Linked DNA regions of Drosophila melanogaster. The protein of the gene in region 1 interacts with the protein of each later gene in a pairwise test. Each region holds a gene or a part of one and is shown on either strand. Other genes may lie near its edges. The genes, in order: CAH2 and CG17110.

The links.
Region 2: the proteins of CAH2 (region 1) and CG17110 interact in a two-hybrid assay, tested with the Drosophila melanogaster proteins (one large-scale study listed by BioGRID).

Annotation. Positions count from the first base shown.
Region 1 is NT_037436.4:12,178,153-12,184,098, reverse strand, and holds CAH2 (carbonic anhydrase 2), read right to left. Parts: upstream 4,224-5,946; 5' UTR 4,002-4,223; coding exon 3,944-4,001; intron 2,424-3,943; coding exon 1,951-2,423; intron 1,890-1,950; coding exon 1,662-1,889; intron 1,601-1,661; coding exon 1,352-1,600; 3' UTR 752-1,351; downstream 1-751.
Region 2 is NT_033777.3:23,089,971-23,095,792, reverse strand, and holds CG17110 (uncharacterized protein), read right to left. Parts: upstream 4,070-5,822; 5' UTR 4,037-4,069; intron 4,017-4,036; exon of another isoform or gene 3,931-4,016; 5' UTR 3,923-3,930; coding exon of another isoform or gene 3,832-3,922; intron 3,738-3,831; coding exon of another isoform or gene 3,246-3,737; intron 3,193-3,245; coding exon of another isoform or gene 2,775-3,192; intron 2,712-2,774; coding exon of another isoform or gene 2,507-2,711; 5' UTR 2,360-2,506; exon of another isoform or gene 2,334-2,359; intron 2,296-2,333; exon of another isoform or gene 2,293-2,295; 5' UTR 2,115-2,292; coding exon 2,018-2,114; intron 1,964-2,017; coding exon 1,472-1,963; intron 1,414-1,471; coding exon 999-1,413; intron 944-998; coding exon 739-943; 3' UTR 609-738; downstream 1-608. Other genes in the region: CG17109 (uncharacterized protein), read right to left, coding at 1-60; CG6726 (uncharacterized protein), read right to left, coding at 2,507-2,711, 2,775-3,192, 3,246-3,737, 3,832-3,922.

The DNA.
Region 1 (5,946 bases):
GCTCGAGAGACTCGGCTATTGTACTCTCTTCTGGTTTCAATATAAACCTAATTTCACTTATATCAGGCAGATCGATCACATTCAATAACAACCATGATAAGCTCATTAAAAACCCACAAATTATTCTATAATTAGGCAGGGATCATACGTAAAGTTCGCAGGTTCAAAAGGACAAGGCTATTAGGCATCAAATGGACCCGAATGACAAACAATCCGTTTTAAAGAGTATAGCGCCCGCTGCCTACAAGATCCCGACTTTTTCCTCTATCTAATGTTCTATAATGTAGTTTACTTTAGGAAGGCCCCACAGTATTACTACGGCCTCAAGTAATTTTGAATAAATCATTTCTACTTTCGCCAGACGAACTCTTCGACTTGAATACAAAAGTTAATATTTCGCTGATAGATTTCTGCACATGCTTGCAATAATTCATTAGTAATTTAGCTGACAGGTGGGGTCAATAGGTCATCAGCCGGCACAAGACTCTCTCAGACTGATACGATTATTATGAATAATGCGACAATTAAATCAAATACACAAGTAATCAAACCAAACTTGCTTTGTAAAGATGTCCGTGGAAGCAGGACTTTGTCTAGAAATATTTCGTTAATTTTTTAAGGGTGAAATACATTTCTAAGCCTGGCCAAAAAGTATACTTCAATTATTCGAATATTGTATTTTGAAATTCAAATTTTGAATATGTCACACAATAACATGAAGAGCTCACTCATTTTAAAAACACCCTTTATGAGATGTTAAACAATAAAATTTATTACGGTTTTATGTTTACAAAACTTAAATCTAAGGTACACGAATAAAAAGCTCTGCTTGTGCCAAGCATTTAAAATCACAATGTGCAATAGCGAGGACATCCAGGGGGTTCCCCTCGCACTGGCGGGCCTCCTCGGACGGAAGGGAATATGGGGATACGGATACGGATACGGTTACGGGTACGGGAACGGGTACGGGTACGGGAACGGGTACGGATACGGGGTACGATTCGGTTGACAGTCGCTGTGCGAGGTGCTGCATAATTGATGAGTAAGGGTTTCGTGCCAGCTGAAGCTCCGCCCATTTGGGGTTTAATAATTTCGCCCACCGTCCGCCTGTTTGTTTGCCCATATATATATATTTATATATATATATATATGTGTGTGTGTGTGGATATGAATGGATGTCCTGACGGCAGTTGAGTCCTTGCCGAAGGAAATTACCGGGACTCGTGTTTGAACAACAAACAGCGACGGCGAACAAGAGCGGAAAATGTAAATTACAGCGCTTAATTGGACGCCTAAGCGCCAGCTAGGCATTTAACGATTTAACCTTCGATTTACCACCGCAGAACTCTAATTAAAAACCCCGGAAAATGGAGGTCCTTGACAATGCAGCGAGGACAACGAGGGGCAACAGCACTGCTGCGGCTTGTGCCCTCCACTTGCCAGCCGCATTTTCCGCATCGACGAGTGGAATCGAGCCCATGTTGTGAATCGGAATTTCTATGTAGTTCTTGTACAAGGTGCGATCGTTCAGCGGCTGGATGGGTCGGAAATTGTTCTTCAGATGATCATCGTTGGCTGTCAGCAGACGGAAGGCATTCAACTGCAAGGGAAGAGTATAGTGTAAAACATAAAAAACAAGGTTCACTTAAATATTTATTTACCTGCTTCTCCGTGATGTCAATGGGCGTTGTGAAATCAATCCAGGTGACCTCCTCACTGCAAGGCGGTGTGGTCAGAGAACCAGTGTAGCTAAAGTAACTCTCCACGGACTTCGAGATGTACTCGCCCAGTGGAAGTGGATTGGTCATATTAACGCTCTTGCCTTTGCGGTCAATCTGGGAGAGCAAGTTGGTGAAGCCCTCATAGCCACCAGTTGATTTGTCGCCCACCTAATGGAATATATTTCTGTATAAGGATCTATGTTCTTAAACTCCAAAAGTCAGCACTCACCTGAAAGAAGAAGGCCATCACGGCGATGCCGTGATCCTTGTCCAGGGCGCTGGCAAAGTCCGGATACTCTAGATTCCGCAATACCACGTGCAACTCGGCGGGATAGGCACGATTGTTGATCAAATCCTCACTGCCAATCGTATCGTTCTCGCCCCAGTGAAAGTGGAACTGTTCGAACTGATAGCCCAGAGGAGTTTTCTCCGCCAAAGGACCACCACGCACACTTGGGATCTCGTCCTCGTTGTAGCTCATCTTCACCAGCACCGTGTGACCGTTGTTCGTCATTTGAAGATTGTCGGGCACCACTTTGAAATTGAAAAACTCCAGCTTGGGAAACTTCTTCTCCACGGCGCTGACCTGGTCGATGTTTATGGGACTCTGGTGCTTTCCACTGCAGCGGGCGTAATCCTCGCTCCAGTGCTCGGGTCCATGTCTGCCCTCGTAGCCAAAATCTTGGGCCAAGACCAAAGAAGCTAAAAATGTATTAAATAAATTCATTAAAATGGCAAATTCATCTCCTCGAATGTGCGTCAAAATATATAATAGATATTCTTCAATGGGGGCAAACAAACAGAGACAGTTAATCGAGCCAGCCAGGTGCTAATTAAACGATAATGTCGGTGACATTTCGTGACATCGAGTGGGTGTGTAATCAGTGATACCTGTTTAAGCAATCTATCAGCTATTTTTGGTCACAGCGAAAGCTATAAATATGCGATTTGTGTGTCCTATACATTTTGCACACTTTTTATTCATTGACAAGCAGTTCAGACAGTTCTAAAATCTAGACAGCCCTAATTGGCCATTCAATTAGCATTAATCGGGTAACAATTAAGCGTGTAAAGTTTATTTCAGTTTGCATAGGGAAGGGCGCAGCAGTCAATTGTAAATACAATCTTTAATTTGTTAAATTTTTTATACAATAACCGACCGATTATTGGCTAATTTGTGGGCCACCGAAAATGATAGCAAATTTAGCCGAACACCTATACCAAAATTATCTCTCATTAACAAGTTGCCTAATTTTTGCCAAATTTAAGTTAATTACGATACAAATTCTATTAGCAGCGCATTTAGTATGGTATTCCCAACTAAGCTCACACCGTTGTTAAGCAAAGTGAATCTTAATAGGATAATTAAAAAAAAACATCGAAAAAATTCCCTTGTGATTGCCTAACGACAGCGGGTATCATGTGGTCTGGTCATGTCTCATTCTGGTTTGATCATCGTGGACACGGGTGACGAATAGCCAAGACACCCGAATGGCAGGTGGAAGGTTGAAGATCAATCACGTGACCAGCTTGTAGGTAACTATAAATAAATATACAATTCCCATTGCAGAACTACTCTGGATCCTCGATCTATCTCTAGATAGTGATACCATCGTAAAAGCTTCATACTGTGATTTAATAAAAAAAAATTTTACTGATTTATAACCAAGATAATCGAGTTGCTTTGTAATGATGTATAACTAGTCTAACTTGTAGGTAGTAGTATAACCTGGTACTAGTAAACTAGTAAATGGTTTTTATTTATATTTATCTGCATATAATAAATTTTACTTCTTTACGCACTATTGTTTGGTTAAACCTTATTCTTTTTTTTTGCTCCCTTATTTTAAACTAATATGTTACTACATATCTTAACATAAAGGTTGCCCTTCTGGTTTTCTCTGCAGGTAAAGTGGACGAAATAAAACAAAAACCCTCCACTTGAAACGGTGCTTGATCAAATAAGAGCGTTTTAATTTCCTTGTAGTGCGACAAAGTCCTGGACAATTGTTTAAATATTTGCTGCACTTAGCTGAGTAAACACTTTGCCGCAAGAGATGAGAGCACACAAAGAGCTTAATTGCAATCCCCGTATCTTGATTAACGCACTTTTGGTCAACAGTTCCCCATTATCGGGTTACACCTTTATAGTATATACATGTTTATGTACTTATGTTTGTATGTAAATAAAACTATATAGCATATATTGTAGTTTAGCTCACCACAAATCAAGATCGGAGCAATGACAATTGCGAACGGGGTGTTGCGACACCTCCTCATGGTTTCACCTTGCCGCGGACTCACTTTTCACGGAACACACTTGCCCTTATCGGGAATTACTGGGCACTGTCACCAGTCGCGACTAATTTACGAACTGTAACTATTTGCGGCACTGGGGCACACAAATCTAGTGGCTTTCGAACGGTTTTAAGCTGACAGTGGAGACACTGTCTTACTATCCGTGCTCACCCGCCGAACGCGGTCACACAACTGCGGTTAGGGAATCGGCGACACCGCAACTTATATAGCCTCGTCGAGGGTTTGTGGTGCTTCTGTGTTATTTTCCGTTTTTTTTTTTTCCATTTTTTTTATATATATATATTTTCGTAGCTGCCAATCGAGTTGGAAGCCCAGTGGTCGGCGGAACTTTCCTATCCACTCGAGAGATAGAGAAGCGACCTATTTGGGCGCCAAGCCAAGGGAAACCAAACCCAACCAAACCAAGCCACCAAAACGCCAGCCACAATCCGGTGTCGATGGGAATTTAAAAGGTTAACCATCCGGATGACTTTAGGTTGCCCTAACCTTGCCATTGAATTGAAGCATTTGGGTTACTTTGACTTACTTGTGAAAATATTCCACTCAACTGGATACTAGAATAAATAGTACTGTCTTGAGTGAAATCGCAACTGAGAAATCCCCCAGTAATGAGTTTTTACTATCCATGTCTTATAATAACAAACTTTTTATGGGCTACACTGTTTAATTAACAGTACGGCAATTAATAGTGCCTCTTAAGTGCTTCACTTTAACTATAAAGTTTTTTTTTAGCGCTATAAAATAATTAAAGAGCTTGCTGGTATTAAGCAAATTATTGGGTAGTAACCTGTTTAGAAAAATAATTTATTCGTATAGCTCAGAGTAAAGCATGATCATATTTGATGGGGATTTTTAACTTTCTGTTCCTAGCGACGCACCCTTGGGTGTACTACTACACTATCGCCGTAAGCTTTTGAAGTTTCCGTTAGTTTAGTTCAACCTTATGTCATAGTGTCTCTTTGATAGCTTCTATATGCCGGGGAATCTAAGGTATCACAGGGTATGCCCGATGCGAGGTCCGAAAAACCAGCGATTAATTTATAGCCGAGTGACTAATGGTGTGCGTGCCGGACTTAACCGTCGATGAGTAACTGCCAAATTAGATGACTGCGATAAAGATGGTAATCCATGGCGGGGAAGACCGAAAGACGCGACTGGAAAGTCAATTTTCGATTGTTCGAGTCGAAAACACTCGAATAAAAGAGAGTTAGGTCTTGACTTGAGGGGGTTACAAAACCCGAAAACTTCGGGCTCCGGATGATCGACAGCTCAGAGTATTGTTCAAACATATATACATATGTATATATATATATGTACGAATATGTGAATGGCTGGGGGGTGATCGGTGAAATTGTGGGGGCTTATCTCCATATCTGTGTGCGATACTCAGCCTGATTGCTTTGCTGTTTATCTTTGCATCACATGTCGCAAATGCACTAGGCACATTAAATGGCATTACTATTGCATGCTAATCGCATTGTGCAGCCTGTTTGTTTTCCACTTTCCACGATGTAACCATTTCCCCCGACATCGATAGCCATGGCTTTTCCATCGAATCCCGCAAACGAATCAATAGTTATCACTACCTTTAAAACTGGCAAACAGATTAACGCAACGCCATTACATTAATTTGGGGTCGGAAAACAAACGGAGTGGGATATTTCCGGTTTTCAAACTGATGATAGGTTGTCTAAACGCGCACAGATCTTAGCTAATTCAGTGGGCAAACCAGCCTAGTCAATCAGATTTAACAGCCATAATTGATCTGAACAAAGGAATGCTTTATATCTTCGATGTTAACAATATTCATATGTATATTATTTGCGTCATTTCATTTAACTTGTCTCCAGTGAAAACTTCAAAGGGAACTGATATTTTTTTTTTTGTTTAAACAATTAGTTATGTT
Region 2 (5,822 bases), on another chromosome or scaffold:
GCGCAAATATTCGCGGAATATTTTGATTTCCTCGTTGTCCTCCCACTTTTCGGTGCTCATTTTGTGGATATGTTTTCGCTGCCAGTCACCAAACTCGAATGTGCCGCAGTTGGCAAAAAATGAACTTATACAGAAATTTTTGTGTGTTGGGTGATTTTGGTTTTATGGCCTTGGCTTCGTATTATTATCAAATAATGAGTTCGTTATCAAACTCGGTTGTTATAGAAATGATAACAGCACATATTCTTGTACAAAATTCTACCAAAACAAATGTCTAATAGCAAACGGTAGCCAATTCGATAAAGTTCACATAACACCAATAAAACTCAACCACCGTCGTTTATGGTCTGCGAAAAAATGGGTTATTATAATTTGTATTTGGTTTGATAAGAAAATAGAATACATATTAATGTAATTATTGATAATTATGATGTATATATAAAATACAACCCCTTTACGTGAAGGTTACGTTAGTTTTTGAGAACGATATCAATAGTTGTGACGATTTATTGGATATTGAATGAGGGCAAAGTCCATGACAAAAACTCTCTTCTGAAACTCGTGTTATCAGTGTGTGATTTTCATTTGTTTAGAAACAGATATGATTTGTAGTAGTCACACCATTTAAACATTTAATTTTGGTCCTACACTCATCGAGCCAAAAACATTACTCATAAGCGATAAGACCAATTGTAGCATATTGATTTCCATTTATGAGTGGAACTTCGCTTGAACATTTTATGAATCAGCAATAGAGGGGATGAGCTTCCTGTACACCTGAATTCCGTGCAGATATGTGTCGGCCCGCAAATATTCATCATGATTGTGCAGCAGCACCGGGGTGTTGTTGATGGGTGAAAATCCCAGAGCGGGAATTCCCACTTGCCGGACGTAGAAGCTATCGGTGGCGCCGGGGAAAACTCGTGTATGGGTGATCAAACCTCTGGAAAATTTCAACAAATTATGAAGTGAAAACTACACAATCTTTGTTTACCTACAGTTCATCTAGTCCCTTTTTGAAGCCCAGCCAGTAGGGATTGGAGTCGTCTATCTTGGTCACCACCGAGGGGCACTTCAGCGTGAAATCCAGTTCCACTCCACCACCGACTTCGTTGCACCACTCGCGAATCTGATTCTCCATTGCATCGGCATTCTGGTTGATGGCTATGCGAATATCAAAAGTGGCTTCTAGTACGGGGGGAACCACATTGCTTTGGACGCCACCGTTGAGTTGGGTCAGGTTCAAAGTGGTCACATCACCGGACTGCAAGGAGGAGTCCTCGGCCAGTAGCTTGACCTGGGTTTCTCGGAACTTCATCAGCTTATCCATCACAAAGTGAAACTTTTCGCCAGCCGTGCTTTTGTGCAGCAGCGATCCATGACCTGAAGTGCCACTGAATTTAAATCGAAGTTCTGCAGGGGTATAAAATGAATCAGAATATATTGCTACTGATGCAAATGGAAGACTTACGCCACAATGTACGCTCGGCGTAAAATACAGGATAAGTGTCATCTTCACTGGCGATGCCCTCGTCCAGGCTAAAGCCCACATTCATGGCTTTGAAGTAATCACCCTTGACGAATTCAGCCATGCCCATGTGTCCGCCAGTTTCCTCGTCGGGCACAAAAGTCAAATATACGGTCCTTTTTGGCTGATAGCCACTGGCTTTGAGTGCACGGACCGCAGCCATGTACTGACATCCCACGGACTTCATGTCCTGGGCACCGCGTGCATAAATCCGGCCTTGGGCGTCTATGTGGGCACCAAACGGCTCATGGGTCCACTTTTCGGGAAACACGGGCACCACGTCCATGTGTGAGTTCAATATAATGGATTTCAGCTCGGGATGCTTGCCCAGCCACTTCATAATCACCACCGGTTTCGAAGGCACAACAGGATACACCACGTCCACGCGGAGATTAAGTTTGTTAGCCTGGCGTTTTAGGAACTCCACGCATGCAGCTGCAAGGGAAATAGGGATAACAAAATCCAAGGAGCGGAAAAACAAATCCTTACTGTAGTCCACGTCTGGATGCACCGAGGGAATGCGCAAATACTCCTGGAAAATGATTATTTCCTCGTCGTTCTTCCATTGTTCCGTGCAAGTGCACATTTTGAGTTGAATGCCCCGTGGTTCTAAAGGAACTGACTTGTAATCCACCGTGCTGTTTGGTTTGAAGTCTGAGTGTGGATTGACTTAATGGCATTATCAGTTGTTGACTTTAAGCTACTTGATTAGAAGAGCCCACAATTTGCGGATTTTCATCTTTGCGCTAAGAGCTTAATGTTATCTAGCAAAGCCATAATAGTAAACCATAAACTTATTCATTTTCATTTAAATTTCCTTTTTTTGCTCACCATTAATGGTATGGACTATGGACTGGCTTATTTATTCATACATTGTTTATTTAAATGGGTTTTTATAAGCCTGCTTGTTTAAAGTTATTACAATAAACATCGACAAGTAAGCATTAAATGCATTATTTCATAATTGAATTGAGTTCGCTAAGCATCAGCTACGGCAGGAATGAGCTTCTTGTAAACCTCAATGCCGTGCAAATAGGTATCGGCTTTCAGGAATTCATCGTGGTCGTGCAGCAGGATGGGGGTGTTGTTAATGGGCGAGAATCCTAGAGCTGGAATGCCTGCGTAGCGAATATAACGACTGTCCGTGGCGCCGGGGAAAACACGAACCCGTGTCTTGAGGCCACTGAAAGAAACAAGGAGAAAGGATATCAGAGCCATGCCTTTTGTCAGAGCTTCTCATCCTTACAGGTCATCGAGTGCTTTCTTAAAGGCCAGCCAGTAGGCATTCGACGAGTCAATCTTTGTTGGCTCCACAAAGGGGTTTTTCATCTCAAACTCCAGTTCAATGCCGCCGCCAGCCTCCTCGCACCAGTCGCGAATCTGCTTCTCAAAGGCAGGGATATCCACGGTGACGGCAATGCGGATATCAAATACAGCTTCCAGCAATGGGGGAACCACGTTGCTCTGGACTCCGCCCCTCAGTTGGGTGAGATTCACAGTGGTCACATCACCAATTTCGAGGGATGAGTCGTCAGCTAGTTTTTGCACTTGCGATTTGCGGAACTCCATCATTTTGCCTACCACATAGTTCAGCTTCTCGCCAGCAGTATTCGGGAGCAACAGTGATCCGTGACCAGCAGTTCCGCTGATCTTGAAACGAAGATCTGCAGGAAAACATGGCTAGCTTAAATTGTTTGTATGAGTCAATCCTACTCACGCCAAAGAGTCCGTTCAGCGTAGTACAGAGCGTAGGTTTCATCCGCACTAGAGATTCCCTCGTCGAAACTGAATCCCACATTGAGCTTCTTGAAGTAGTCGCTCTTTACCAGCTCCCGCATGCCCAGGTGGCCGCCAACCTCCTCGTCCGGAACATAAGTGAGATAGATCGTCCTCTTGGGTTGATAGCCACTGGCCTTGAGGGCACGCACAGCTCCCAGATATTGGGTGCCCACGCACTTCATGTCCTGCGATCCGCGCGCAAAGATGCGACCCTCTGCATCTAGATCCGCGCTGAATGGACCGTGTGTCCACTTCTCCTCAAAAACGGGCACTACATCCGTGTGCGAATTGAGAATGATGGAGGGCAGTTCCGGCTGGGAACCCTGCCATTTTAGCACCACCACGGGATTCTGCTCGTTCACCGGATAGATAACCTCCACGGGCAGGTCCAAGCTGGCAGCCTGGCGTTTCAAGAATTCCGTGCAAACGGCTATAAATAGCAGACACATTTTATGGCAAGGTCATAAAGATCAGGGTACTCTTATCGCAGCCTCATAAAGATATACATGCCCATTGGAACTCACTGTAATCCACATTTGGATGCACCGTTGGTATGCGAAGATATTCGCGAAAGATCTTAATCTCCTCGTTGTTCTCCCACTTGGCTGTACTCATTTTGCACTCTATAAAATGTAAATAATTAGCCGGCTGATAACAAATCAATTAAATTGTTTGCTGAAATCAGCTGATCGACACTTCACCACAGCGGAGAGCAGACACACAACACACCTTTCGCAACACTGGCTCGACGACGACTGTGCGATCGTGGAGAGAAGCGCGCGTTTAAATATCAGCGATAAGCGAGCGAAAGAGAGGGCATGATAATAAATCCGAGAAGGAACTAAACCTAATTTCTTATCATACGGTGCTGCCTATAAACTGTTTTATCTTACGCATTTGTTTACTTTTTAGATGGCTAATCTACTTTTCAGTACAAATGACTTGCAGTTAACAATTGCTTCCGTCATTAATAATATTCGTGTCTTCCCATTTCTATATGAGAAACTAATTTGATGAATTTAATATCCAGCACTCAAAAATTCAATTGATTACAAAAGAGACATCCCCTAATAGTAATTTCTATCTTGTACTGCATTATTTATAAATTAAACTGAATTTTGCAGCTCATAGCACAAGGAGTGGAACTCTATTTCTGTACCATCCCAATTGGTAGGGATTCCACTCCATGTATTGGTGAACATTCTTCCATCACTTTCCGGTACATATGAACCCACTTTAAGGCTCATTTACTTGGGATTCCCCCTGGCTGATGGATTTATTTGCCTTAAATGGAGGCGAAGGTGCTTCGCATTGCTTTGGGGGTAACAGGACTGCAGGATTGCTGGATTGATGGTGACCCCATTTGGCCCGCAGCCAAGATTTCCGATTACTGATGAATCGCATGCAATCGCATTCCAATTCCAGTTGATTTGTTAATCAAGATGCACTGCACACGTTCGCACCACACGCCCAGTGGGCTTCCGGGTAAACAAGTTGCCCCTCCTCGGGCCTTTCAGCCACTCGAATCCAATTCAAATTTCGCATATTAATAGTGTTCCTGCTGCACTTGCCGACTTTGCTGCACTGCGTCTGTTGTCCCAGTAGTGTGTCAAAAGTTAGTTTCGCATTTAGATTTCACGCTTGTTCCCATACAGAAAAAAAGGTGGTTGGGCCAAAAAAAATACACAAAACCAAAGCCCTCTGATTTGTGTCGCATACACACCCTGCTAGGCCAAAGTTGATATTGTTTTAGTGTGTGTACTCACAAAAAGTCATTAAAAGTTCATTAACAATGTTGCTGGGATTTTAATGGCGCACCAGCAGCAATAGCAGCAACTACAGGCTACACATGTCTGCATTTTAAATAACATCCAAGCCCCACATTCGTACAAACTCGTACTCTCCCCATTTACAGCGTCACATAAGTCAAATAAATACACAAGTTTCCTGCGCACAAACACTCGTTCAGCTGCACAATGGGCCAAAATGGCAAGTTTTTGGCATAATTCGAATGTAATGTCCCTAGAATAGAGTCTATAAGTCTGTACAGAGGCTAAAGTAGTTCATTCTTAGTCGAGTAAAACACGAATCTACTTATCTGATGCCAAATTATTCACTTTTCGCCCATGGTGGTGACTTGGGGGCGCGCCTGTTTGTTGTTTGCTGATGTTGCTGCTGAGCTGACATGTTGTCGCTGGGCAAATAAACTAAATGAAAATTTTGTATATTGTAACAATTATCCGGGCAACGCCGGAAACTGTTTGCGTTGAGCACCCAAAACCTGCAGAACTGCAGAGATGGAACCCCGAGGATATCGCCTAATCCGTTATGGGCGCATTACCTGGCCAAAAAAAGCAAAAAAAAAAAATAAAAGCGAGAGAACTGATATAATCCTCCTCTGCCATTTACCATTTACCATATCCCTCGGCCCAGAGCGTACATTTCCTTTTGTTCGAGCTTTTTTCAGAGCCCATGGCAAAGTTTCGGTAGTATGGAAATATGGAATGGGAATTGG